Sus scrofa: one gene and its partner. The protein of the gene in region 1 purifies or fractionates together with the protein of each later gene. This does not show direct contact. Links are inferred from orthologs where the notes say so. Each region holds a gene or a part of one and is shown on either strand. Other genes may lie near its edges. The genes, in order: RIMS1 and ERC2.

Region 1 (15,229 bases):
ATATCCAGCCTAATTACAAGAAGATATTACTGTACTTTATTTTCCCAAATTATACTTTTATGACAATTGTCATGATGATCATGAAGAACGTCAAAGTAGAATATTTTAATAATTTTTACTTTTACCAAAAATGTAATATCCAAAAATAAATCAGCCAGCTTATTTCAATATTCCTTTATTTCAGATACCAGTATATAAAATATATCCTTTTTTTCCTCCAGAAAAAAAAAGAGTTAAGAAGGAAGACTTAAGCTCCAATATATTATAAGACAGAGACAGGTAAGGCAGATGAATCTGCTAAGATGCATGAAATACAAAAGCGAAGCCATTTGGTTACTTTAATTTTGTTTTCATCTCTTTCTACTGAGACAGTAAGTAGTCTGTCTGACCTGAATAGACCTTCTAGATGTGAACATATATACTACCCTATATTTAAAGAACCCTGATACATTGCTCCATACATTCCTAAGATATTTCATATACCACTGGCCTCATTTTTCTAAAATGTAAACCCCAGAAATTGAACACAGAATAGCCAGCCATGCAAACAAAGAGCTTCTCATTGCCCGTATGAAGATCTGTGTTTAAATGACAAGGACAATAATGTGTCACGTGGTGCTTGTGCACTGATTACTTACAACTTTCAAACTTTCAAATAACTTGATATTCTTGAGATTAAGAACACTGCTCAAATATCGATCAAGAATGCTCTGCTTGCAGAAATGTAAGTTGGGAGCCAATCAAATAGACTACATAAAGTCTGGCAAATAAAACCATATAACCCTATCAATAACAACTGCTATACCCATCCCCATTTGTGAATAAGCATATCATGCCTGAAAGTCCATTAAAAGAAGAGATACTGTGTAAGACATGACAGTACAGATACCTTAATTGGTTTTTAATTCACATCCCTTCTCTATGTAAATATAATGGCATCTCCCAGACAATAATTACCTGGCATAATGGTGGGAAATATGAAAAATATGTATTAAGTTATATGCAAATCATTAGCAAGGTATTATCTTTTATATTATATAAAGATATCTGTTTAGTTCATTATGGCTCTTTAAGAGCTAATTAAATATTTTAATTACTTGCAAATTGCACAAAATTACTTTCTATAACATGATCTTATTTTACTATCTAAACTTCAGAAGAATTATCAAAATATTGCATCCTAAAATCTATTTAAGTGTCTTCCCTAAACTGTGGGCTGCTCCTTTGCAAGGCCCAAAGGGAGTCTTCACAGAGAGCCTTGCACGCAGTTGCATTCCTGCTTACTGTTATTTGAAAAGTGATATGAACTTTTAAAATCAACTTTACCATGAAAGAATCTATAAAAGATAACTCCTCCTTCTCAGCAAAGGTCTTTCCATTTACCAAACCATGATTTCCAAGGCTCTACGTCTACAACTTGCTTGTCTTACTTATTGATAATTACTAATTGCTGTATTTTATGACAGTTAATTGTCTGACTTTCTGAAGCTTTAAATGAATAATTTTGTTCAGGGAAAGAAAAATTTACAAAGAAGGAGACAATATAATTCATCATCCAGGTTAAAATTCAACTTGAAAGAATGGGGTACTAGCCATCATTATAGCATGAGATAGACATCAACAGATACTGTCCTGGGAAAACCAACCTGTACAGTCACTTTATTATTTTTTTTTTTTTTTGTCTTTTGCTATTTCTTTGGGCCGCTCCTGCGGCATATGGAGGTTCCCAGGCTAGGGGTCCAATTGGAGCTGTAGCCACCGGCCTACGCCAGAGCCACAGCAACTCGGGATCCGAGCCGCATCTGCGACCTATACCACAGCTCATGGCAACGCCGGATCGTTAACCCATTGAGCAAGGGCAGGGACCGAACCCTCAACCTCATGGTTCCTAGTCGGATTCGTTAACCACTGTGCCACGACGGGAACTCCAACAGTCACTTTTAAAAAAAAAAATCCTTTTATATTAAAATAAATGTTGGTGTGTCAGGGAAGTTTTCACAAGTTAGCCACAGAGGCAGGAATATTGAAAGTCAATTCTGTAATATAGTCCCCTCTCACCATCCACAGAACACTGACCTAGATCAAAATAAATGCACAGAAACTGGATGTAAAAGCGTAAGAATATACATACAGAAAGCCTAAGACATCCAGCACAGAATCTTTAAAAGTTCTTAAACACATGCAATCTATTCCATCACCTAATAAACTGACATGAAAGAGGAACTACTCCTTGGCAAGTACATGGCCCCTCAATCAGCTAATTTAAAGTGAATGATTTATTAAATCCAGTGGCACAAAAACCATTAGTCTGTTTCTCCACATTTTTTTTTCCCCTAGCAAATGATGTGGAAATTATCCTAGGCTAATTTCTCTTCTCATTTTTGATTTAGGGTCGCCTTCTAGTTATTTCAAATCTTATCTTTTTTCCCCACAATTCTCTTTTTTGCTAAAGACATTTATGAGCTAGAAAGAAGGTAAATACAATCTCAGATCAGATTCTGGACTCATTTTACCTTTGACCTCTGCCAAATTCTCACTGTGGGAGCTGCAGCCTTGGCCACATACCCTGCTGGCAGGATATCATGGATTAATTTTTCTATAAGAACCCATCTCCATGGGACTTCTAAAAGCTGCAGTAATCTCAGGAAAAGATGATTTGGGGATTCTTTACAGCTTTACAGAGTAAAGATAATAATGGCCCTTTTCTTTTCTTTTTATGGCTATACCCATGGCATAGGAGGTTCCCAGGCTAGGGATCAAATTGGAGAGCTGGAGCTGCCAGCCTATGCCACAGCCACAGGAAGGTGGGAGCTCAGCCATGTCTGTGACCTACACCACAGCTCATGGCAACGCTGGATTCCTGACCCACTGAGTGAGACCAGGGATTGAACTTGCATCCTCATGGATACTAGTTGAGTTCGTTACCACTGAGACACAATGGGAACTCCAATGATCCCTTTCTTTGGTACAGCAATTTGAAGTTTAAGGGTGTCTCTACCATCACGTTAAAGCTTAGTAAGTTAGAAGGGCAGGCATTATCAACTCCACTTTACACAGAAAGAAACTGGGCCTCAGAGGAGTTAACTTACTGACATTTACACCTATAGAAAGTGACAGTGTTCGGAGCACAATCTAGTCCACTGCTCTGTCCAACTACCCGATGCTCACCTCTCTTTCTGGCCAGAGCACCTTTAAAATGGTAAGAACTAAGCCAACCCTGAGCTAGAAGCTGAGGACCTCTCTCTTTATTCTACTTAACAGCACAATGCCTGATCCAATTCTAATACCTAAAACAATGGTCTTATTGTTGAAATGAATATCACCTGACACTTTGTCAGAAATAGTCTACCTAATACATCAACTTTGGAACACGGTAGGGACAAGAGAGAACTTCATGGTGGAGGAACATGGTGGGAAGTGCTCAGGCACTAGGGAACACTGTGAGCCAAGCAGTCAGATCTGAAAGCCCTGGTGCCCACAGGGTTATCCTCTCACCTATGGGAAGATCTAGAGCCTGGGGTTCTCAGAAAAGGCTGGAAAAGGTCATTGGCTATGTGATATCTTCTCTTGCTCCTTTTTAAATTTTATTCTCCAGATTCAGGATCATATGTCATGAGCACAGGGTCAGGAAGGCACTGAGCTAGTACTGGGAATTTCACTAATAGTAACTAATAGAATTCTCACAGGGTAGACCTTTCAAGAGGTAAGCATGGGGCGGAGTAAAAGATATACAGTAGCCAGCGAAACATTCAAATGTTAAGCTCCTTCCCCAACAGAAGAGGAAACAAAACCATGGTACCCACACCTTGATACACTTTAGAAGACTTCCAAGATTACTGAAGATCCGTGTCCATGTGTGTAGGGTCTAGCTTCTATTAAGTTTCCATGTGCCTCAGGCCAGCTTACAACACTCAGAACCAGCTCTAAAATACCCAACACCCATCACAGGACAAAGTGCAAAAAATTTGTTTAAAAATTTGTTTAAAAATATAAAATACTCCATAAATACAAATGAAATGCAATACCATGGACTCTAAAATCCATGGTATGGCAAGCATACCCATCTGCATATTACAGAGTTAGGACAGTAATATGACGGCCGGAATTGCTATTTGATGTCTTTGCAGGAAGCTGGCTGCTTACCGCATAGGGTTAGCTCAAAATCACCTTGAGCAAGTAACATTCCCGAGGTGATGTTTCTATTCCAGACAGCAGTGACACCTGTAGCTCACATTGCATGTTCTGCTTCAAACTTAGTAATCCATTTACTTCAACAAGAGTGTCCCTTCACTTCCAATTAAGAAGGAATACATAGAGGTAAACGAGAGCCAAGGCAGGCTGGCAAAAATGTGAACTGTCATGTTTCTTACCCTCCATTCTCTTTGATAACACCTCACTTTTTCCTTCCTTCCTTCCCTCCTTCCTTCCTTCCTTCCCTCCTTCCTTCTTTCTTTCTTTCTTTCTTTCTTTTTCTTCCTTTCTTTCTTTTCTTTCTCTTTCTTTCTTTCTTTCTTTCTTTCTTTCTTTCTTTCTTTCTTTCTCTTTCCTTCCTTCCTTCCTTCCTTCCTTCCTTCCTTCCTTCCTTCCTTCCTTCCTTCCTTCCTTCCTTCTAGGCTTCTGTCTTCTGAATTTTTTCCATGAGCATTCGGGGGCCTAGGACTAAGCATGCACATTTACTAAGGTAGGTTTTTGCTGAAAGCAGAAAACTGCAATAGTTCAAGGCTAACTTTCCCTCATTTAATCCTATCCATTAGGGCTGTGAAGGAGACTAGACGCTGGGTGAAAGGGTAAATGTTCTCCCCCAGACTTTTCTACTTAACACAGGATCTGGGGACAGGTAGATACCTGCTCATATTTCAGCAGCTTTCTCCAATTACTCTTTGCCTTTTCTCTTTCCCCTCCTTACCCATCCCTGCCTCAGCAATAGGACAGAATATTTGGGTGTGCAAGACCTTTGCAAAACTCAGTAAAAACATGCTACCTGCATTCCTGGGGACTCTGTCCTTAACTCTATCCCAGTTGCTAATTGGGGTCTCTCAAGCTGAGCCTTCTGTATACATTTTGGGTCACAATATTATGAGTGGCTGGAGGGAGAAAAATGAGGAAGAAAAGCTTCGCTATAAGAGTTCAACCCCTCTACTGTGTCACTCTTCCTTACAAAGGAAGTAAATATTCATATTACAGATGTTTGAAGACTTAGTGGGTGTGAGGGTCCCTGTTAAGAAAGAGGGACAAGTCCAAAGTCAATATACTTTATAAATCAATTCACACCATGAATTGCAGGATTTATAAGAAAAAGAGAACCTCACAGAATCCCAAATGCAATTTCTTGGCCACACTTACACTATTTAAGAGACAGCACTAGAACTTAAACTCCCAAATGCTTGGATGCAAAAAATGGTCTTTTCATGATCTTTGTTATATCTTCAAACTGGAGACAATGTCCTTGCCCTCAATCCACTGGGAAACTCTCTTAAGAGTCTGGGTAAAGCACCAGGCCCTCCTCTAATCAGCAGCTGGTCCTCTGAATCAGCTCAACCTTTTGCCAAGCCCCTTCTCTGAAACCAAGGGAAGAAGAGATATTCATATAAGGAAGAGGTAGATGAAATCCAGGCTTCATCTTGGTAGAAGGACAGTATACTATGTGGGACGATACTTGGACTTAGAATGAAGAGCCTGGCTTTGAATCCTGGTTGGGCCACTTCATGTGAGTCAACTCAAGGTATTACAGGAACTCTGAGTGCGGGATAAGGATCTGTGGGTTATGTGACCTGACTTACCTTCTGCACAAGTTGTTGTGAGAATCCAAATACACATCTATTGAACTTGAACACAGTTCAACTATTTATTTGGCTTTTGATTCAAAAGCCACTTAGAATAATGGCCAGCATGAGGTAAATGCTCAATAAATGTTAGTAGTTCTATTAAATATTCCAATATGGTTCTTGATTCCCAGCCTCAAGCCATCATTTTCACTCTCTGCTTCTTTATATTTTTTCTCTTGTCTTGCTATTCTGTAGCTCCTTTCTCTATGAAGATTTTATAAAAAAGGAATAAGATTTTAGATCAAATGAGATCTTCTCTGATTTAGGTCCCAGATAATGCAATTTTCAATCCATGTAATATATTGGCTCATGGTGCCTGGTGACAGTTACTTGAAGGAGTCTTCATTGAAGAAGTTAGGTTTCAAAAAACTTCCAGAACACACATTTATACCTACACCCACACACACCTACGTACACAGCCCCAAAGCCTACTAAAATTAAGAAAGACCTTCTATTTGCAGGTAATTAAATCCCACCATTAGAAATTACTTGCAGGAGTCAACTATTTCTAGTTATGGCAATGGTATTTAAAATTAGTGCACTTTGCCAACAAAATGAATTATTTTTATGACAAAGTGCTTCTAATTTCAAATAATTTTTTTCTGAAATCTTGAGGAGAAAGTAGCTTCATTATTCTTTGTCGTTTATACATATTTAGACATTGTCAGGACCAAATTGAAGAGTAATATACAATCAGGGCTGATGAAACTGTATAAATATATTTTAATTGATATTTTATAATATTTCTTTGGCATATTCACCCATCAGTTTTCTCTCTTCTCTCTACTAAGGCCTATTTTTATATATTATGAACAGAGAGCACACACAATAGCTCAAGGCAATGGCTTTGCAAAAGTGAATTTTAAGCCTAAATGCTCTGTTCCTAGAACTTCAGCTTTGTAGGGCCTGTTGTGGGAGTCATTTCTCAGATATGTGCCATGATGACCATCCATTACCACAGAAACACATCTCTGGTTTTAACAAATAGTTCAAAGCCTTGTGAAAAACCTCCTGTTTCCCAATATATCTTTTTGAAAAGTTCAGAAAGGGTCACCACCTGTGACTATGTCATTGAGTTCCCATATATGTGTGTCCTCTGATTAACTCCAACAGTCCTCAGTTTTTAAGACATAAAGTACCCTCTAGAAAAAAGTTGAGCTCTGTCCCACTAATTTGTGGATGCGAGGACAGGCTTACATGGCAGCAAACTCGGGCGGGGGATGGATTCCCAAGCATCCCCCATCTGCCATTGCACAAAAAGCCGAGACAGTAGCAGAGGAGGCTGACTGATAAAGTTAGTGTTGAGGCCTGGGATTAGAGAGGGCTGTTGTATAAAAGCATCACATACTGAGATGTTTTGTGAATCCTTGCAATAAAGGATCACCACGTACTGGCCAGAGAGGGTAGCCACAGGTGTGGCAGCGGGAAAGAGGTTTTAGACATGAACAGTTGGACGGTGTTCTTCTTTTTTCTTTTGTCCCTTACAAGCCCATGTGATTCGATGGCTGCTGTCCTTAGGCAGTGAGCAGGTTTGAGATTCGGTTGTGGAACTCACCCCCCCCCCCCATTTAAAACCCTCACTCTCCACCAGCCCTGAAACAGCCAAGGAAGAGGCGTGATGGCCACCTGCTTGCACTGTGCCTTCCCTTCCTGCTCAGACCCCTGTTTTCCACTGGCTGCTGGAGGCCTCTGTCCACCTGCCATCTGCAGCCAACACCAGAAGGAACGGAAATAACCCTGTCAATTCTGACCAGCAGAAGAGGTGCCCAGGACAGGTGGCAGGGGCTGCAACCAGTGAGGACAGACGGAGTGACAACCAGACAGACAGACAGCAGCACCAGCAGACACCATCCATTACTTCCAGTCTCAGAAGAGGGGAAGCCTGCAGCGCTAGGGACGTCATTGTGCCATCAGGGCTGGGCGGCAGATTAAGGAGGGTTTTGGCTCCCTCCAGCCGGCAGGCTTAAAGTATTTGTTTTTTGGATAAGAAGGAGCAGGGAATTCGGAAACCTGCTGCCTTCACAGAAGCAGGCTGGCTCTGGCCTTCTGAGTTAATGGCCCCTGTTGGAGTCTGTGATGAAAGGGCAGGGATGACTGGATTTCTCTTCTGGTGCTGTGACCGGCCCCCACATCTCTCCCTCAATACCCCCTCTCCAGCTGGGTAGCAGCTGCACGGGGGGAGACCCATCAGGCTGGGAATTCAGCCTCCTTCCAGCCCTCTCCTGTGAGGTTCTGCTATACTGAGAGAAGCGGAAGAAACCTCCCTTCTGTGGCAGCATCTCCAATCCAGGCAGCAATCCTAGGGGTGGGGAGAGGCAGAGCAGGGTGTGACTGGGTGTGGGGGGTCACCCCTTTGCTGTTCCTCTTTGCTCTCCAGTAACTCCAGATGCAACAGGTTCCCTTTGGCTCCTCACACCAGTTTTCTGCCCCCAGATGCACCGTCTGGCCTTAACGGAGGATGCCAAGGAATTAGTCCCAGTCAGGGCTTCTAAATTCCCTCACTGCCAAGTTGAAAACTTTCCTGAATACAGGAAGCCCTTTCAGGGTAAGGCAGGGTTCAAGTCCCTTTCAGCTCCACCACACTTGTGCAAGGAAGAAGGTGGGGAGGCCAGCACCTTGTGAACTGTATTGCCTGAGACTAAGGCAAGCAGCAGTGCAGTGAAACACATGCCTGCATCGCCAGCCACCAGCCCCATCCCCTCCCAGACCCAGGAAAACGGGGCGCTGGACGGAGAACCCTTGCAGGGTTGACGAGCTTTAAAGAAGGAGGGATGTGTGCAAATATTCAGCCCCTCTTATCCTGCTTCATCCAGGAACCCAGCAGGCCCCGAGGTCTCTTGGAAACCAGTAAAGTGGAACCTCTGTTTTATTCAGGCCAGAGTCTCCATCAGCTTTTCCCATCATTAAAAACTTTGCATTGCCAATGGCATTATATACTGGGAAGAACTGTGTCTTCACACAGGTATTCCGCGTAGAAGACCGTGTATCAAAGGTTAAAGAGAAGCTGGGGAGGCAGGTTACCAAAGATGGCAACTGCCCCCCAAAAAAGACCCAGCCTCGATCTGTGAAATGAATTAGTAACAAAATGAGCACTCAAAATCAGCGTTTTACTTAGATAAATACTGGCATCCCGGGCGGGGGTAATCCCGACCTGCTAAACAACTCCAGGGAAAGAAGAGGAGCTATTCTCGGCAGCTCTTCACCCCGCCTTCCCTCCCGCGGTTCAGCCCTGCCCCTCACCTGCTCTGGCTGGGCCCTTCCTTCCACTGGGGCACTGACTCTTCTCAGCCTCCGCACATCCCACCCCGGGTGGCCCGGTCCACCCAGTCCTCCTGGCACTTCGGTCCCCAGCTATCCTCTCCGGGCTCCTCGGAGCAGGGCTCGGCTGCATCCCCGCCTTCCACCTGTACCCTCGGCCTCCGCCCGGCCGGGACCCCCCGCCCCCCGGCCCTCAGGCGGGAGCCTCCGCCCGCACCCAGAATCTTGGCCCGCCCCTCCCCCACACTCAGCCGGGAGGACTGGGTACCGGGCGGCGAATGGACCGATGGAGGCACGGATGGCGCGGCCGGGCCAGCTTACTTGAGCATGGCTTCTTCTTTCTCCTCCTCCTCCTTCTGCCGGTCCATCACTGCCATGATGATGTTCCTCTCCTCCTCGGTCAGGTGGCTCAGGTCGGGCAGCTCGGGCATGGGGGGAGGCACGGTGGGCGGGCGAGGACCGCGGGGCCCCACGGCCGAGGACATCTTCGCGGCCTGCCCGCCCCTCCGTGGGCCTCGGCTCGACGCGGGCGCACCTTCTAATCCACGCTTGGCAGCTGCTCCCCTGCTTGGCTCACCGCTGGGCCCTCCCGGAGGCGGCGGCGGCGGGGCTACGGCGCGTGCGAGCCCGGGCTGTCATGGTCCTCTGCCTCCACCCAGCCCCGGATGCTGCCTTTGTTTTGGTGGCCCTGGCAAGGCGCGGGCGCCCGGCCGCCTCCCGCAGCCGGGCCTCGGCTGGCGGGGCGGGGGCAGGGGCAGGGGCGCGGCGAGGGGCGAGGATGCTCGGGTGCGCCGAGGATGCTCCGGCTCTGCCGCCTCCGTCCGCGGCTGCGGGAGGAGAGTTTGGGTGTCAGTTAGGCGGAGTCTCGGCGGCTCCGCTCTGGGTGATGCTGCCTCGCTCGCTCTCAGACACGGCCGCCGGCAGCTCAGCCCCGGAGCCGCTCCGCCCACGGCGCCCACCCGCCCACTCGCGGTCCCAGCCCCGCGCCCCGTCGCTCCCCCCGCTCGCCAACTTGCACACCACTGCGCTCCAGCCCAGGTACCCCTCGCCCGTGACTCATCCTCCCTCTCCAGGTCCCTCCGCTCTGTCATTCTCGCCAGCCCTATTTTTCCATGGGTTGCATTCATCATCATCATCCTCGTTCCCATATTCGTCGTGGAGCAGTAATAATATTTGAGCAACCACGATGTTCTTCTGAACGAGATGGAACACCCTCTGCATGCATTTTTTTTCCCCTACCGTATCTTTCTGATTTACCGATCAAGTGTTCATTGCCACCGCGATGTGGTTTTAAAGATAATTTTGATACACATACTCCCCTTCAAAGGCCTGGATTGTCTGGGTCCATTGTACGCAGTCTCTCTTGACCCATCCTCAGAAGGGCTGTTGTGCGGTGTATCCGAATTCCCCCTCCAGACGCCCCACACCAAGGCGCATCTTTAATTTGTCCTTTCGGGCTCTGGGCAACCCATCTCATCACATAACCGCACATCTCTGGTGCCTGCAAATGGATTATATACTCTAATTCCTCTAATGATGCTATCATCATGTACTCACTTCGTAGCCTCTGCAGGTACTTCTCAAGGAGCACTGATCCCAGATAAGAAAAACGCCCCACCACAGCCTATTGTAAGAAGCTTCTGCTCAGTGCCTGGCCCAATGATAAGCATTAAGGATGAGCTCCTCTTGCTGATAAAGGCAAAAATAAATAGACAATCCTTTCAAAACAGTTAATGTTATCAGCTTTTAAACTTGGAGACTGAATTTTGTTAATATATTTATAAAAGGAATCAATATAGACAAGGCTTCGAATTAAACAATAGTTTCTCTTAGAAATGGTGATGAGAGGATTGATATGTTTATCTCCTGCAGAAGTCTTTCTATAGCTCAGAAGTGATCTAGCATTGATATTTTTTTCTTCCAAGCCTATCTTTGTTAATGAAGAAGAAGAAAATGTTGATGCTGTTTATGAATCCTAAAAATCCTAAAATCTTCAAGTTTAAAAAAATTTAAGGGGTTGCTATTGTGGTGCAGCAGAAATGAATCTGACTAGTATCCATGAGGATGCCGGTATGATCCCCCTGGCCTTGCTCAGTGGATCAGGGATCTGGTGTTGCCATGAGCTGTGGTGTAGGTCACAGACACGGCTCGGATCTTTCATTGCTGTGGCTGTGGTATAGACTGGAAGCTGTAACTCCAATTCGATCCCTAGCCTGGGAACTTCCGTATGCCACAAGTGAGGCCATAAAAGGCAAAAAAATAAAAATAAATAAAAATAAAAAATAAAGAGTTTAATTACTTGATCTCACATTGAATGCAGGTGTTGCTTCTGCTTGGATACATCCGTTTGAATAATCTCAGTAATAGAAGGCTCACTAACACTTAGTTTTATCTCTATATCTAAATCCCCCTTTTACCTGAAAATCTTTCAACTATTTGAGATGACCATCAGGTCATCTTTAATTTTTTCCAGATTAAACCTTTCCAGTTTATTAAACCAAAAGTATGTATCATGATTTCAAAGTCTGCTTGTTCTCCTCACCTGCCTTTGGACGCACTTGTGTTTTTTCACTAGCCGTCCTGAATAGTGATATCAAGAACAATTCCACTTCTGGGCATATATCCAGAGAAAACCATATTTTGAAAAGATACATCCACTCATGTTTATTGAAGCACTATTTACAATAGCCAAGACATGGGAGCAACCTAAATGTTCACTGACAGAGGAAAGGATGAAGAAGATGTGGTACACATATGTAATGGAATATTATTCAGCCATAAAAAGAATGAAATAATGCCATTTGCAGCAACATGGAAGGACCTAGAAATTCTCATACTAAGAAAAATAAGCTAGGGAAAGGAAGACAAATGCCATATGATACCTCACTTATATGTGGAACATAAAATATGATACAAATGAACTTATATACAAAACAGAAACAGACTCACAGACTTAGAAAACAAACATATAGTTACCAAAGGGGAAGGCAGAGGGATAAATTAGGAGTTTGGAATTAAATTATACACAGTACTCTCTCTGTCTGTCTGTCTGTCTGTCTGTCTCTCTCTCTCTCTATATATATATATAAATTAGATAACCAACAAGTGTCTATTGCATAGCAGTGAGATATATATATATATATCACTTTGCTGTACACCTGAAACTAACACAATATTGTAAATCAACTCTACTTACATAACTTAACATTGGCCTAGCTTTTTGGTAGCCACGTTGATTGTGAGGATGTCACTGAAATAAACACCTAGTCCACCAAAATTTCCAGTTCTTTTTCAAACATGCTGCTGTCCAGCCAGGTTTCTTCTTTTCTCTAATTAAGCACTTGATGAAAATACTCTAATCAGCATCTCCATTTTAAAATTCTATCCTTATTTTCCTCAGGCCAGCATATATTCAGGAAGGAAAAAATGAGTTTGAATTCTGGCTCTACCAGGGATTTTTATGATCTCAGTTCAATTCCTCTTTGAACCTCTGCATCGTCATCTGAAGAGGAGGGTAAAGATACTTACCTCAAGATATAAAAGGGCTATTAAATGAGAAGACGTATTTGTAGCATCTAGTGATGTTTCTAATACGTTATAGTTCTCTTTTTCTTTTTTTGTTGCTCTCCCTAAGAGATGTTTCAGGCCATCTCTCCAGGATTAATATAAGAGGGGAAGAAAAAGGTAGTTGACATATTCATTCTACCAGATGCCTGCATCTCTGCCGGTCAAGGTGAAGATACAATAGGCGCCTTGTCCTCCAAAGGTTTACAGGCAATCTGGTCCTCATGAAGTACTTTTAAGATACAAATAATGGAATGAGAAGTCCTCAGTAGACATTAGAACTACCTGAATAAAGTTCTTGAAGGCAGGGCATCATGAACAATTAACAGTGTTGTTTTCAACTGCTAAAGCTGCTATAACAAATACCACAGGCTGCATGGCGTAAACAACGGAAATTTATTTTCACAGTCCTGGAGGCTAGAAATCCACAATCAAGGTGTTGGCAAGATTGATTTTTCCTGAGGCCTCTCTCCTTGGCCACCTTCTTACTGTGTCCTCACATGGCCTTTCCTTGGTGCATGCCCATTCTTGTATCTCTCCTTCTGCTTATAAGGACCTCATTGCTGTTGGGTTAAGGCTCCAACCGTTATGAGCTCATTTAACCTTAATTACCTCTTTAAATGTCCTATCTCCAATTATAGTCATTTCCTAAGGTACTGGGGATTAGGGCTTCAACCTGCAGATTTTAGGGGGACACAATCCAGTCCATTACATGTGGTTTCCCTTTATTAGAATTAATTTGCGTGGAGTTCCCATTGTGGCACAGTGGTTAACGAATCCCACTAGGAACCATGAGGTTGCGGGTTCGGTCCCTGCTCTTGCTTAGTGGATTAAGGATCCAGCGTTGCCGTGAGCTGTGGTGTAGGTTGCAGACGTGGCTCGGATCCCGCTTTGCTGTGGCTCTGGCGTAGGCCTGAGGCTACAGCTCCGATTCGACCCCTAGCCTGGGAACCTCCATATGCTGCGGGAGCAGCCCAAGAAATGGCAAAAAGACAAAAAAAAAAAAAAAAAAAGAATTAATTTGAGAAATGATGATTGCTGGGTATTCTCCAGAGGATTTAATGACAAGAAGTCTGGTCTCAATCATCTTTATGCTCATAACTCCTTTCTTGCTGCTTGAAAAGCATATGTGAAATCAGTGAGTGAATAAACAAATAAAGGAGAGAATGAATTGACTGATAAATTGCTAGGTGCCACTGTACAGCCACTGGTGTCTCCCCTTCTGCCAGAAATCTTATCCATTATGGAGGGGTTCAAATGCATGAGAAGTGTACTTCTACAAGTTTGCTGTCAGAAAAGCAGAACTTATCTGTACTTAGATAAGAAAGCAAACACCCAAAGTAGGTATACCAAGGTGTGTGACACAGATGACTAGTTTCTGATGTTACTCTATAAAAAATATCCAATAAACTTAGAAAACCGGGCACAATACCTTCCTCTTAGAAATTCACCAGGCACCTTAATAAATAAAAGATGCTAACTAAGAAGAAATTATTTACTGAGGTAACAAAATCTGCTTTACATGGTTTGGCCTGGAATTTCCCAAATGTACTTGGATGGCAATAGAAGTGCCACTTCCCTAAGGGAGGACTTGCTTTAGATAAGGAAAACTCCAACTTATAAGCCTGGTATCCAGAAATCTTGACTAGAGAGCATGGAACTTTTCATGCAATGCTCCTGGCCCAAGCAATGAAGTCTACAGAAAAGTGTCTTAAACCTCTATTCATAAGATATGTATCAGATGCCCTTCAGGTCAATTCCAATGTTATGTTCAGGGTACAAGGCAGAAATAATGACTTAGACATAGCTTCTCTCAGGTAAGTTTCTTAACTCTCCTTTCTACTGGTACCCTCAAATCATCATTTCTCAGAATATGTCTAAAATTGAACATTGCAGTTAACTGAAAGTTTAATAACTCAGATTATAACTTCAAAGTGGAAAAATCATGGAAATGGGGTCATGTTCTATCATTTGACACATGTAGTGGGTTAAATACTGTCTCTCCTCTCCTGACCAAATTCATGTCCACTCAGAACCTTAGAGTGTGACTGTACTTGGAAATGGGTCTTTATGGAGGAAACTAGTTAAAATAGATCACATTGTATTAGGATGGGTGCTAAATCCAATGACTAGTGTCCTTATAAGACGAGAGAAGGCACAGGCACACAGAAGAAAGCCATGTGGAAACATAGACACACAGAGAAGAAGGTCCTGTGGAAACAGAGGCAGAGGAGGGAGGGATGTGTCCCCAGGCTAAAGAATGCCACCAGAAGCTGGAAGAAGCAGGAAGGATTCTCCTCTGGGCACTTCAGAGGGAGTGTGGCCCTGCTGATCCCTGGATTTTGGACTTCTAACCTCCACAACTGTGAGAGGATAAATCTCTGTTGTTTCAGGCAGTTGTGCAGATTGTGGTACTTTGTTACAGGAGCCCTAGGGTGCTGATAGACTATTTACACGAGTTCAGGTGAAGTCAGTCTTGCTAAGGCTCATTTTGCTCATTTATAAAATGGAAATAACTGTATCTGCCTTCTAGGATTTTGTTAACATTGAAAGCTAAGTTGCATGCTAGGCCTAGGCACTGA
Region 2 (15,129 bases), on another chromosome or scaffold:
CTGTATTTGCTAACGATGTGATTGCAGTCAAATCCCTTAAGCCAGCCCAATTTATTCTCTTTTGAAGTGGACATAGTTCTGGCAGCTTTGGAGCAGTTTTGTCAGACAAGTGAGCTAGTGGACGTGAGGAATTTTGAGTTTTGGGGCTGAGAACAGGAAAGAGTAATCGGAGGTCAAGGATATTCTTCCTACTCTCCCCTACCCCCAACTCCCCCCACCCCAACTACAGCAAAACAAAGAAGAGTGGAAACCAGCCTCATTGTTACCCCGTGCTGACCGGTGAGACAGTTTTCCTTCTAGTCTTTTTAACTTTCTGCCCATATTTTACTCACTATTTATTTGATGCATATTATGTGCTAGGCTTGGGGTCTGATACAAATTTGGCCCAGAACCTGACCTTGAGAAACTCACTTTCTCTCTCTCAATCTTCCTCTCTGTCTCTCTCTCTTGGAGATTTTCCTTATTTTTTGTGTGAGCATAGCAGTGTTTTGAAAGATTTATTTGCCTTTATCTGACCGTTGAGTACTAGGACATCCTATCAGAAAATTAGCCTACCATAAAACCAGAAACAGAAGTCATTAGGACTTCCTTTATTGTCTGAGTCTTGGAATCAATTGGGCAGACTCATCTTTTTAGCTCCCATTCTGTTTACCTGTGTTTAATGGGCAAAACAATGATTTTAAACTTTTTTCTTTCTTTGGACTGGAGATAGGGCTAGCCTTTCCTATCCAGGGCAGAGTTCAACGTATGAAATTTAGGTGTGGGAGGAAAAGGTTAAAAAGTTCTGGTTTATAGGCCAGGTACCAGGATAAATATGATGTATTTTATTTGCACTCCTAGCAGAGTGACTGCAGAGAGAAGGTGGATGCCCTTTTGTTGCAGCTACTTTGACTGTTTTAGCTGAAAACAGCTTTGTTTTCTTCTGTGGTGTTCTCAGTGGTCAGCTGTGGAGAAGGAAGTTTGCATTTTGAGCTTAGATTTCTTTGAGGACAGCTAGAGGATGATCCTACTATCAGGGTGGGGAGTAAAAAACTTTCTGAATATTCATCCAACCAGGTTCACTTTTGTGCTTGAAGGGAATTAGGTGTTCCAAGTTGATAGCAGGTTGATTGGGACCCTGGTGATGTCTCATCCTGATGCAAATGGATATTGGAAGGGATTTTCTCTCCTAATGTGCAGTGGGGTGGAAGCAAGAGGAGTGGTTGAGGCTTTGGGAAGCTGAGACCACTGTGATGACTGGGAGATTGCAGAGAAATGGCCCTAGAACACAGCCTTAAAATTTGCTTGTTTGTAGGTACTTGATGCAGGTAACAAACTGAAAGGAATGCCCTTGGCTATTGATCTAGTGAAGTTTAAGTGGCTGCTTCAAAGAAATGTGCTTTCATGGTTGAGAAGGGAAAGACGATTCAATTTGAAGGAATTGGATAATCAAGGAATGGAGGAAATTGAAAAAGTGTGTATCTTTTAAAATTTTTTTTTTTTTTTTTACTTTTTAAGTCTTTTGACCTTTATAGAAAGTACTTTTGGCTTTGCCAGAGTTTTCACCTGTACTATTGTATCCTGATCTTTAAGAGTTATTGTTTTTTAAAATTGAGCTTGTCTTCTGATAGCTACATAGAAGCTATTACTACTTTTGCAAGGACTTAGAATGGCGGTCTAAATAAATTACCCTTGGAGTATCCCAGGCTATTTAACTACTGGGTAGGACTGGTGATGCAGAGGTTAAATGATTTAGCTTATCTCTCATCCTCTCAATAAAAGACACCACTGCCTTTTCCTAAGTTGTCAAAGCGGAGAGCCCCACCCCCTTTTGGTCTACTCTTAGGGTTATTGGAATACATACCAGGATGGAGTCCAGGATCCCAGAAACCAACATCCTGGATTTGGCAATGTATGTGTGCTCTTGGGCCTGTCAATTAACCTTCGTGGATCTGATTTTCTCATATATAAAACGAAGTTAACAAGCTAAACTTTAAGACCTCTTTGAGCTCTAAGAATGCTGATACCATGCCATCAGCATGTCAGGTGGGTTTTATCTTTTAGAATGTGGGTTTTTGTGCTGTTCTCACAGCAGCAAACCCTATCCTATCCTCGTTGGTATAATCGATTACTGTTTACCTGTTACTTTTAAGAGCTTTATATGTATTAACTCACTTAATCCTTATAATAACCTTATGCAGTAGGAATTATTACTCTCTCACTTTTCCAAATAAGAAAATTGAGACAGAGAGGATATTAATTTCAGTGGGTTATTTATTAAAAGTGCTGTTACTTTATTTTAAAATTGAAATTGTCTATGTTAAATATCCAACTAGATATAGATATATGGTAAATAATTTTTGAAACTTGATTGAGTTGACTCTTTAAAACAATGAGGGGAAAGAGAAGGGGAGAGATTGTTTTAAAATTTCTCCCCATCCTATGAAGCAGAAAGATTATCAGTGTTCTACGAGGTACATTCATTTTGCTCAAGGATCCATTTTTAGAAATAAAGAGATTCCTGCTTATCTTTTTTTTTTTTTTTTTTTTTTTTTGTCTTTTTGCTATTTCTTTGGGCCGCTCTCACGGCATATGGAGGTTCCCAGGCTAGGGGTCGAATCGGAGCTGTAGCCACCGGCCTACGCCAGAGCCACAGCAACGCGGGATCTGAGCCACGTCTGCAACCTACACCACAGCTCATGGCAATGCCGGATCGTTAACCCACTGAGCAAGGGCAGGGACCGAACCCGCAACCTCATGGTTCCTAGTCGGATTCGTTAACTACTGCGCCATGACAGGAACTCCAAGATTCCTGCTTAAATATTTTAAAAGAGAATGGCTTGCTCAGTGGGTTAAGGATCCGGTGTTGCCGTGAGCTGTGGTGTAGGACGGTGGCTACAGCTCCGATTTGACCCCTAGCCTGGGAACCTCCATATGCCGCAGGAGCAGCCCAAGAAATGGCAAAAAGACCCCCCCTCCCCCCGCCAAAAAAAAAAGGAGTTTCCGTCGTGGCGCAGTGGTTAACGAATCCGACTAGGAACCATGAGGTTGCGGGTTCGGTCCCTGGCCTTGCTCAGTGGGTTAACGATCTGGCATTGCCATGAGCTGTGGTGTAGGTTGCAGACGCGGCTCAGATCCTGCGTTGCTGTGGCTCTGGCGTAGGCCGGTGGCTATAGCTCCGATTCGACCCCTAGCCTGGGAACCTCCATATGCCGCGGGAGCGGCCCAAGAAATAGCAAAAAGACCAAAAAAAAAAAAAAAAAAAAAAAAAAGAGAGAGAGAGAGAGAATGGAAATACATGATATGTGAATTTGAGAAATTTTTGAACACTAAATTTTAGGTTGATTTATCAGACTGGTCATGCTTAGATCATTCAGTCTACCTGGAAAATAAATTTTACTTCTTAATAAATGTGCAACATGGAAGTATGTATCATGACAACTTCTGAATAAGGAATAGCTTGGTTAGTATTTAATTTTAAGAATTTCTGTAACTGTCATAATTGCCTGCCCATCTCACCACTCCTGCCCACCTCCCTATTCTTTATTTCAGCCATCCTGAAGTATTTATGCCAATTCAGAGGTCAGATGGTATAGCGATTCATGCAGGGGTGCTGAAGTCAGACTACCTGGATGAACACCTGGTTGTGCCACTTGACTAGCTAGGTGACTTCCTGCAAGTTACTTAACCACACTGGCCCTCCATTTTCTCATTTGTTAAATGGATATCATAATAGTGGTTACATGACTGAGAAATTGTGAAGAAATAAAAAACTTAGAACTGGGCCTGGCTTGTGGTAGGGGCTATAGAGATTTTTGCTGTTACTGTTCCATAATAGGTCTGGTCTGTCTTTGCCTCTGGGGTTTTTTACTTTATTTACTATTTCCATCATTCTCCACAGGCTTAACTTTCATTTATTCTTGAAGACAAAGCTCAGTAGTAGCTCTTGGTTTAGGGTATTTTCTTACATGTGTCCAGCCTGGGTTACATTCTCTTTGCATTTCTAACCACATGGCTATGACTTCTATTGTATTGCCACTATCGATTTATTTGTCCACATGGATTGGGAGCATGGACCATTTCTTTTCCTTTGTTTTCTATTTTGATATTTCAGGAGTATAGAAAGACACTGGGTAAATGCATATTGAATAATTAAGTGGATTGATTTTTCCCTCCATTCCTCTCTCCTCATTCTTCTTTTCTACTTTCCTTTCTACCAAACTTCCTCCCTCCTTTTGCCCTCAAACCTAGCACTTGATGCATTATCTGAATTACTCCTCACAGAAACTCTATGAGGTAGGTATTATGATTATCCCCGTTTTGCAGGTTTGGAAGCAAAGGATGAGGGCAGTAGGCAACTGGCTCATCCAAACCTTTAACAGAGTTATCTTCCATTGTTGCTGTTTTGCTCAAAGCATTTTGGCAGTTAAATTAATTAATTAATTAATTATGATTTTTCCATTATAGTTGATTTTTTTTTTAAATTCCCTACTGGCTAGTTTATGTGAACTGCATTAGAAAGTCAGTCTTATTTTTGGTCACTCTCAGAAAAGGTGATTTCCAGTGTGATCATCCTGATTCCTCATGTTTGTCTCCATGTAAACTTGGATTGTCTCAGAAACCCAAGCCATGTTCAAAGGGCAAAGATTTGCCAGTGTCAAGAATGTTTAAAATGATTTGAGGACAGTTGCAGACTCCCAAGAGGCTTGGCAACAGCCACGTCAGTGGGCTGAAGACGGTTGATACTCCTATGGACTTTGTTTTGCTGTGGTTTAGGGATGGTTGGCTGGTGGAGGGGGACCACATCATCTTATGACCCCACCTAATGTTTTCTTTTGTGACACTTGTATTGAAATATAATTCATGAACCATACAGTACACCCATTTAACATGTAAAATTCATTTGTTTTTGGAATATTTACAAAGTTGTGCAACCAACAACACCACCACTAAGTCCAGAACATTTTCATCACCCTCAAAAGAAACACTTTAGCAGTCATCTTCCATTCTACCCAAACCCGCCTGATAATCATCAGTTTATTTCTGTCACTGGACCTGGTTGTGCCATATTTTATGTACTCTTTCATCAGTTGATTGACATATAGGTTGTTTCCACTTTCTGGCTACTATGAATAATGGTGCTATGAATATTTGTGTATGAATCAACTTCTGAATAGATAAAGATAATGTGGTATATCCCTGTAATGGTAATATTCATCTATATTAAAATAGAACGAAATATTGATACATGCTATAACATAGATGAACCTTGAAAACATGCTAGTGAAAGAAAGAAATCACTAATTGCATGATTCCATTGGTATGGAATGTCTAGAATAGGCAAACCCATAGAGAAAGAAAGGAAATTAATGGTTACTAGGGCCTGGGGTAGGGAGAAGGGATGGGACATGACTTCTAAAGGGTACAGAGTTTCTTTTGGGGATGATGAAAATGTTCTAAAATTATTTGTTTATGGTTGTACAACTTTTAACTATACTAAAAAGCACTGCATTTTACATTTTACTGGGGTGAATTATATATATAACAGTTGTTTACTTTGAATTCAGTACCCTGGCACGTATTGTGACACATACCTGAGAAAGAGTAGTTGTTTGCCATGCTCTAGGAATTTCTCAATGGATTTTCCTAAATGGAAAGTTTGGGTGGACACCAATGAAAAGTTTAATAAAAGTATCACTTGGTGCTAGTTTCTGGATACAGGCCACACTCAAAAAAATCTCAATCTCTCTGTGGAATTCAGAAGGGTTTCCAAATGTGGACTGCTCCAATATTTATGTAACTTAGATAGGGTATTATCCATTCCTTATAATACCGAGAGTTCCCTTCAGGCAGGATCTAGGCCCCCCCTTAGGTTCATCTTGATTCCCATATTTGTCATTGTGTCTGATCTGCACCAGGGAAACGTGTTTGGTGAATGGATGAGTAACTCTGTTTTGGAAGCCTCCTGCCTTCTTCCTTCCTTCAGTTTATAGCTGCCTGTTTTCATTAGCCTGGGGGTTGCCCCGTGGGGAGGGTACTGCTGAATTCACCAGCTGTCTTCATACAAGGGTTTCTTTTTTCACCACTGGTAACTACAGCACTTCACTCTGATTTTGGTTAAAATATTGACCTGGAATGATAGGGGGGTACTTCTGGAGTGTTGTGTATTCCTCCCTGGTAATATACCTAAGATATTGGGTTCCTGGGTCAGTGAGATTTAAATAAACAAAAGGTAGAATAAACCTCACTTTATTTTCTTTTCTAAAATCACATTTATGAAGCATTGATATAAATTCTATGTAGCTTATGGGCCTTTGCTGTAATAAGAAATCGCTTTTCTTTTTCTTTTTTTTTCTCTGTGAAGGTACTTTATGTTGATTAAGTTCTTTCTGTTAAATATCCTTGCTTGCACTGGACTTTTCTTTGTGTTGATTTTTGCTTCATTTTTTTTTTTTTTTCATTTCCCACGCTGTTCAGTTACTGGATGCCAGAAGAACCAAGGTTTGTCCACTCTTTGCGGCTCGTTCATTTTGCTCTGCATAGCCTCACTTTCTCCTGTGTATGAGTGTGTTTGTCTCTGTCTGCATTTGTTCCCTTTTGCTTGCAGATGCAGTAATCCTGTTTACTAAACCTTTCACAGCTTTATTTGTAAAAAATAAAGTCCTCGTTTGTGTCTACTTGTAGTGGATGCTATTATTTTTATTTTTAAACAAACATGCATTTATCACAGAAAATAACAGTAGAATAAAGAGCACCCTAGGAAACAAGGAATACTGATTCTGGAGCATTGTGGATGTAAAGAAGGCGTGTTTGTGAAAGTTTCCCTCTAACCCTTTCCAATTCCTAAATTAAAACTCTGTAGATGTATAATTTACCTTGTGACTGACACTAATATACTGTTTTCTGTGTATGTGTACATTTCTCTTATGACATTCAAAAAGTATCATTGAATTAATTCCCCCTCTCCATGTAATGTGCCATGCTTCCGAAGTCACCCTGGAGGACTTCGCAGCTGGCCCTCTGGACCTCATGATTAACATTCCATCTTCATAGTGTGGTAGCAGCAAATAGCAGTTGGCATTTCCATTGACTTTTCCCCCTTCTTTCTCCTCTCCTGCTGTGTCTTTCTCATCATAGCACCTGCAGTTGACAATCCAGGCCCTTCAGGATGAGCTGCGAACCCAGAGAGACCTCAACCACCTCCTGCAGCAAGAGAGTGGCAACCGAGGTGCAGAGCACTTTACCATTGAACTGACTGAGGAGAACTTCCGGCGGCTCCAAGCCGAGCACGACAGGCAGGCTAAGGAACTATTCCTATTGAGGAAGACCTTGGAGGAGATGGAGCTGAGAATTGAAACGCAGAAACAGACCCTTAATGCCCGAGATGAGTCAATTAAAAAACTTCTTGAGATGTTGCAAAGTAAAGGTTTGCCGTCCAAAAGTCTTGAGGATGACAATGAACGGACGCGGCGGATGGCAGAGGCTGAGTCTCAAGTCAGCCATTTAGAAGTGATTTTAGATCAGAAAGAGAAGGAAAACATACATCTTAGAGAGGTAAGATCACTTTTTCTCATTCCCCAAAGCAATATTTTACAACTTAAAACATGTTAAATATGTTATCAAGATATTTTCACAGGTTGGAAGATATCTATAGCCTTAACAAAATTCTTTTTGTCATCTGTTTTATAACCTTCCTATCTAGTTATCACCTTTAAACTGAAATTTTGCATTAGTCTTTTTTTCCCTCTGTTAACCACACATATGTTCCATTATTATTCAACACGTATTCAGGATCCAAGTGTGTGCAACACATGTCAACTCTAAGGTGGTTTACAGTTGCTTTCCTACAAATGGCCATTGTTTCAGGGCCTTTTAAATACAGTTACTATTTAAGTTTTAAATGTTTACCAAATATCCTCTTTTTAAAGGGCAAAATGATTAGTTGATTAGCAAAACAATGATTATAAGTACTTTTATATCTGAATTTGGGATAAGATTTTTAGAAAGTAAAGCCTAAGGATGTTTCTGGAAAGAATGGTAAAATGTGCAGACCAATTTTGAATGTTTAGGTAATCTTTGCCTGCATTTATATTCATGTAGGACAGAATGTTCCAGGTTTTCTGAGTATGTGTTTTGCACTTAGTGAATTAAATCATTTGAAGTCCCTCAGAGGCAGCCTCTTTGGCTTGCCACCATCATTGAAAGTTGGGATGCTCAGATATCTGAGAATATGTGGTTGGATAGATCTTAGAAAGAATGTGGGTGACAGCCAAGGTTTGAAATTTTTACAGCAGTTTCTTGCCACTATGGTAGATAGGGATCTCAGAAGTACCACACAGGCAAAATGCTGTGGCAGACACAGATCTCACAGAAAATTGGAATCAATGAAATGGCATTGAGTATATTTTCAAAATATTCTGTAACCATAAATAAAAATTCCAGAAGACATTTGCTTTCAGACCAGACTAGATTTCCTGGCCATTATATACATTTTCAGATGGGCAGCCTTTCCAGTGAGTCACTTTTTTGGTTGTTCAGAAAACGTGGCTTCCATGTTGGGAATTGCTAATGCAGATGCTACTAGGAGTTTTCTCTGACAGAGATTGTATTTGCCTACCACATTTGAAAGGACTTGTATTTTCAGGCTTAATATCTTCCATGCTTATTCTCCTTTGTTTTGTTTTCATGAGACCTTAGGTATGTATTTGGGAAATCATATGGATTGGTTTTACCTTGAGACACTTCAAAATATGTTTTATTGGGTCTAGTCTTCCAATCCACATTCCAAGAGAGTGAATGTGGTGGCAAGGCTTCTAAGATGGCCCCAATGATCCCTACCTCTTGGAATTCATATGCTTATGTAATTCCCTCTCCTTGAGTATAGGCTGAATCTAGTGACTTGCTCCTAAGTAAGAGAATGGCAAAAGTAATGGGATGCCAGTGTCACTTCTACAATTAGGCTACATAAAACTGTTAATTATATCTTGTAGGACTCTATTGCCTTCTCAGCTTACATGCTTCCCCCCACCCTTTTTGTGACTGCACCTGTGGCAAATGGAATTTCCTGGGCTGGGGTCAAATTAGAGCTGTAGCTGCTAGCCTTTGCCACAACCATGGCAACACTGGATTTGAACTGCACATACAACCTCTGTCGCAGCTTGCAGCAACGTTAGATCCTTAACCCATTGAGTGAGGCCAGGGATTGAAATCACATTCTCATGGACACTTGGTCGGGTTCTTAACCTGCTGAGCCACGACAGGAGCTCTGTTTGCTTTGATGAAGCAAGCTGCCATGGTGGAGAGGACCATGTGGTAAGGAACTGAGAATAACCTCTAGCTGATACCCAGGGAGGCAATGGGACTCTCACTTAAACAGCCACAAAGACCTGAAAACTGCCAGGAATCACTTAGTAAGCTCGGAAGTGGATCTTTTCCCCATTTGAGTCTTTGAGTAAGATGACAGGTGCTGGGCGGACAGGTGCTGGGCTGACAGGTGCTGGGCTGGTGCTGAACTTGATTGCAGCTTTCTGAGAGATGGTGAAGCGAAGGACCCAGCTGAGCAATGCCCAGATTCCTGATCCACACAAACTCTGAGATAATACCTGTGTATTGTTTTAAGCTGCTAAATTTTGGGCTGATTTGTTACACAGTGATATTAGTGATAGCTAATACAGTGGTGGAGAAACCAATCTCTTCCTGTCTTACTACATAGAGTTTCCATTTAGTTTATAGAAGAGAAGTAATGATTACTGGCATATCATCATTGCATGTAGAGTGTCTGTGGATTCTGAGATTTTGGTTGTGTTATCTCAAAACTGTGGTTGGTAGATTTCTATAGTTGGAAAAAAAAACCTGCTGCTTTATTTTGGGTGCCAAGGGATCATGTTGCATGTATAGCAAGACTGTGGTACAAGAGAAACCTTCATCTGTAGCATTGACCTTCACTCCATGTTGGATCTTGGGGCAGGATAGAGTCGCTCTTCTTTTTTATTAGATTCTGCTCATTGTTAGCAATTAATACATGGCGCCTTGATCCTATTGTAGAAAGCTTCATTTAAATGGATCTAAACATAATTTGGTTGATATTTTATGAGATCAGTTGGTCTTCACAGTGATCTGACATGAATATACATCATGTTTAGACATTTAAACATTAGTCTAAGAGTCCATAGAGAATGGTACAGAAAATGTAGCCCAAAAAATCCAACTATTTTGTTAATGGAACAAAGTCAGTGGATAGCCCTTATCTTGGCTCATCAAGAAGGGAAAATGTGGAAAAAGGTGCCTATAAAAAAAATCTTATTTTAAACTCAAACTCAGCAAACAAGTTTGGAAAGCCTGAAAAGGCCTTTCTCAAGAGAGAGAGATGATAATGGCTTTCGAGAGCCATTTGTTACATTTCTAGGAATTTCATGAACGGGCTTGTAAATCATTTATAGCTTGGAATTGTGGGCATATTTACACCATGGAAATTGGCAAATGCTCCTCTTAGGGTCTACTTATCCTCTTCACCCCATCCCTGAAATCTCACTTACCAATATACCTCTGAATAAATGTTATGAAATGTTTACCCAAAATATAGCAGGAAGAGTCAAGTTAAATAGTGTAAGAATTATGATTATGAATGCCTTCACCATTCATTGTTCATCAAAAGTTTTCATAACATCATCTAGCTAGAAGTTTATGTTAGGCACTATGAAGAGTGCTTCACATTTGTCTTTCTTATGATAATCTGTAGTTGTATCTATGTTACTGTGAATGACATCATTTTGTTCTTTTTTATGGCTGAGTGGTATTCCATTGTATATATGTACCACATCTTCTTAATCCACTGATCTCTTGATGGACATCTAGGTTGTTGCCATGTGTTCACAATTGTGTATGGTGGTACTTTTAACATAGAGTGAATGTATCTTTTTGAAATAAGAGTGCTTTACATTGATTCACAGTTAATTCTCACAGCCTCATTTATTCATTCACTCATTGATTTATTCATCCATCCACCCACCCATCCATTCTGTGACTACTTATGTTTTGGGATAGAGTAACTGATGAAGTTTGAGTTCATGGGTACATATTTTATTGAGGTGAAACAGATAGCAGTTTAATAGTTAAACAGAGAGTTATCATGAGGAAAAGAAGATAAAGTAGTAGTGACCTGGGTGGGGCTAACTTCATATTGCATAGTCAGGGAGGGTCTCTGGGAGGGGGACATTGTGAACTTGATAAAAAGTAATCAGCCATCTAAGGCACTGAGAAAAAAAAATTTCTAACTTGATGGAAAGGCCTATTCTTAGGAGTTGGTGCCATTATTTTGCATATATTTGCCTGGAAACTGAGGGACAAATGACATGAAGAAGCTTGCCTAATGTTTCACAGCTAAGAAGTTGTAAAGCTGGTATTTAAATTAGGCTGCATCCAGAGTCTCAGCTCCTTAACTATTTCTTATATCCCTTTTCAGAAGAATCTTTCTCAAATTATATTTCACAGAACAGCCATTTTGTGGAATATTGATATGTGTTGTGAGAGACAAAGGGCTGCAAGGCCAAATGAACTTGGGGAAAATGTTGAATCCCATAGAGCTTATTGCGGGACTCTGAGACTCTCAAGTATGCAAATGTACGTCAGTCATTTCCAAGAAGAGGACAAAGGAAAGCAGAGCTTCTTAAACTTATTTGATTTGTTTTTTCTTGTTATACTGATGTTCTTTGTGGAACAATTTGGAAAAATGCTATACTAGAACATAAAAATTGTGCTTTTAATTTGTGACCTATAAAATATGTAATATACAAATAGTTGTTTCCCATGGCCAAAAAACTGGGTAATTTCCTCCATTAGTTATTCTAGAAGGCAAAGTTTATTGTAAGCTGTTTCCATGTTCTCTATTGAGTTTTAGAATGTTTGTTCTCCTGTCAGGGTTTTTTTTTTTTTTTAGTGGAAAAAATGTGGCTGACTGATGTTGGTATTGAACTGGTAAGAATAACCCAGCTTGAATAAAGAAGTTTCCTGACCTCTGTTAATTTAAATGAATCTAAAACAGGATTTAAAATATACTTGAGGTTTTAAGTTCAGTGTGTTCCTGATTTCTTTTTCATTTTGCACGATTCAACCCAGTTGGGGCTGAATGGTGTAATGCTGGGGAATGGAGTGCTAGTGGTTTTATGATTCATTCTCAGGCAGAGGTGTTGGACCTCATATAAACCCCATCTCCTGGAATACTGGCCTTGTTTAGCTTATTGTTTCAGGAGATTTAGAATTGGCAGGAGTTGCACATGGGGAGGGACAAGTTGCTTTAGTATCTTGTTATCTTTCAGTGGTCTGGAAAAGGCTGAGGGTGAAACCACTTCTTTGCCTGGCAGGAAACAACAACAAAAAGATTATGATCTCAGCTTATTTGGAAGACTAGAACTGTTGCCCAAGAACTGCAGTTGACAGGCTAATGTGAGCTGAAGTGTTGGCTGAAGTGCAGCATTACTCACTAGTGTCGTCTGATGCTTTTGGATACAGGTTGATTTGATAAGACATTGTTTGATGTGGTAATAGTTTACCTTGTTCTCTAGCTTTTTCTACAGAGAACACATTGTTCCATATAAAGGTTTTAGTAATCAGGTACCCAAAATACTACTGATCTCATTAAAGAAAAAGTGGGTTTATATGCTAGGATCCTCCTATATTCATTCTCTTTAGTATTTTCTTGGCTGATCCTTCGAAGAGAGTCAGGAGACTTTGAATTATTTACTGTAAGATGTTTGAAGGGAAAGGATGTATGTTTTGCTGCCATGCTTGTTGATCTCCTATGCTAATCCCCATGGGCAGCTTGCCTGTCTTTGAAAGGAAGGGCAGAAGAGCACTCAAATCATTGAGGGGCCACAATTGCTACTAACCCAGCCCATGAGATATTAGGCCTGGGTGTCCCTCCATGTTGTTAGGGGGCAGGGAGGAGGAGGGCAAGGCAATATGAATTCTTGGTCTCCTCATTTATCCAGGTGTGCCTAGGCCAGTGAGGGAGCCACCAAGGTAAAGTTGATGACCTAGAAGTTCTTGAGCTCATAAACCTTTTACTGATAGTTGAAACCTCCCCTGTATAATCTTTGCCCAAACTAATCTCCACCCTATTTCCCCTTCTCTCAAAACCATATGGCCTCTTTCTCTTTTACACACGCTTTCTCTAATTCTGCTGGCTGAGCTATGATTTTGCTGTTGCAGGCATTTCTAATTCTGACTCTACAAATTATACATTCTATTTTGACCAAGAAATCTTATCACAGAAAATATTCCCAAACACAAATGACCATATAAACGTAACATCTTACTTTCTTTTGCAAGAGTTTTATATATATATTAAACATATATAATAGAACCTAAAAATTGCTCCCTATTTTAATAAAGTAAGCTTTTAACCTAATCAGTACATTCCATCAGTATTCCCAGGCCTCAAATATTGCCTGCAAGATGCTCAGTAAATATTTAAAGGGTGAAAAATAGCTTAAAAATACCTTGAGAATTATCCGGTGGTTTATTTTGTCAATATTGGAGAAGCTATAGTTGTAAAAGCACCATATTCTTTTTGTTTTCTCTGTCATTGCTCTATGTTTGGAGTGGAACAGTGGCTTTGAGAGTAAGCTTAACTGGAGGTTCTGTTTTTTCAAAATGTGTTGAATATCATTGGGCACATGTTGAACATCCATATGCAGGATGCTGTGGGAGCATCCATGGAAAGTTTATAGTCTTGTTCAGGGGTTCAGATGGGTAATAAGAGAAATAGCTCACACTTATTGAGGCTTATTCCATGATAGATGCTGTACTAAGGGAAGACTGTTGTCATCATCCCCAATACATAGTTAAGGAAACTGAGGTACAGAGTTAAGTATCAAGCATTGGATACACAATCAGAACCCAGGAAATCTGGCTCCAGGGTCTATACTTGTCACCACTATACACTGCTATACTAAATACTACTATTTCTTGGGGTGGTATACTAAGAGGACCTCAAGTGGCACCTTGCTGTGTAGCTTAGATGTAGGAGAGCTGGCAACTGGTTTCATACCTGATAAACTGGTCTTCAGAGGCAGGAAGAACTTGAACATATAGGGGTGGTGGAGAAACATGATTGGAGAAGAGATGGTTGAGCCAAGCATTAGAAGGGACAACTGTGGTGTGTTTTGGTCATAGTGAGTTTGGAGCAGCTGGAGCTTTATCTGTCAGGAGAGAAAGGAAATAAAGCGGAATGAGTGTTTGAGGTCAGATTACTGAGGGCTCTGAGCATGTGACGTAGGAGATTGGTCTTTACTTGGTAGGCTCTGGGCAGCTTTTGAAGGAATTTTCCCTGGAGAATAGAATGATCAGAAAAGATTGTTAAGTACTAATTGGTAGTGTATTGGCTAGAAAGATTCTAAAGGCATGGAGATAGGTTAGAAGGATACCACTGTTGTTCACATGACCAAGAAGTATTTAAGTTGAAGGGCAAGGTCATCCCCATCTGCAGGCAGAACTTGGACAGCTTGGAAACTGAATGCAAGGAGTTGTGATGAGTAGACAACCACATCTGCTGGTTTGTCAGCAGACAACCACATCTGTGGGCCTGGGTGTACGCAGATGCTGGGACAGAGGGTAGGAGAGAATTGTTGTGAGGAGGGGTTGGGGTTGAGGAAAGGCTTTGGATGTATTGAGTTTGATGAAAATCCTGATGGAGCTGTCCAACCAAAGTTGAGAATATAGCTGAGGAAATTATTGTGAAACTCTGCCCAGATACACAATGCATTTCTAACTATTGGTCATGTTTGGTGGTGGTGGTGGTTGTTGTGTGTATTTTTTTTCACACATATCTTATTATTTTTGCCCACCAAGCTTCCAGTTTGGGCGATTGTTCTAAAGGCTGCCTTGTCACAGTTATTTAGGAGGAGACCTTAGGAACTGAATGGTTCTTCATGACTCATTTCTGAATAAGTACTTGATTTTAAATACGATATATCTTTTGAGATTGCACGAACTTTTCATTTACTGGTGCCAACTTGATGCAGTTTGCCTTTGTTCTCATTGAGTTCCATTTTCTATAAGCATTTCATGCAGGATAGGTCCCAATGAAGAATCTTTATAGAGAAGCACTCTTTCTGGACCCTGCAGCAGCAGATTCAAAAGCATGGTTTCATA

What was found.
Region 2: the proteins of RIMS1 (region 1) and ERC2 purify together in Homo sapiens (affinity purification with western blotting; 3 studies listed by BioGRID and IntAct, with this or other methods). This does not show direct contact. The link is inferred for Sus scrofa from reciprocal best matches to the Homo sapiens genes RIMS1 and ERC2.

What each region holds. Positions count from the first base shown.
Region 1 is NC_010443.5:51,779,859-51,795,087, reverse strand, and holds the start of RIMS1 (regulating synaptic membrane exocytosis protein 1), read right to left. Parts: upstream 9,889-15,229; 5' UTR 9,569-9,888; coding exon 9,405-9,568; intron 1-9,404. UniProt on the Homo sapiens protein: Rab effector involved in exocytosis. May act as scaffold protein that regulates neurotransmitter release at the active zone.
Region 2 is NC_010455.5:38,179,860-38,194,988, reverse strand, and holds part of ERC2 (ERC protein 2), read left to right. Parts: intron 1-6,456; coding exon 6,457-6,480; intron 6,481-7,116; coding exon 7,117-7,533; intron 7,534-15,129. UniProt on the Homo sapiens protein: Thought to be involved in the organization of the cytomatrix at the nerve terminals active zone (CAZ) which regulates neurotransmitter release. Seems to act together with BSN. May recruit liprin-alpha proteins to the CAZ.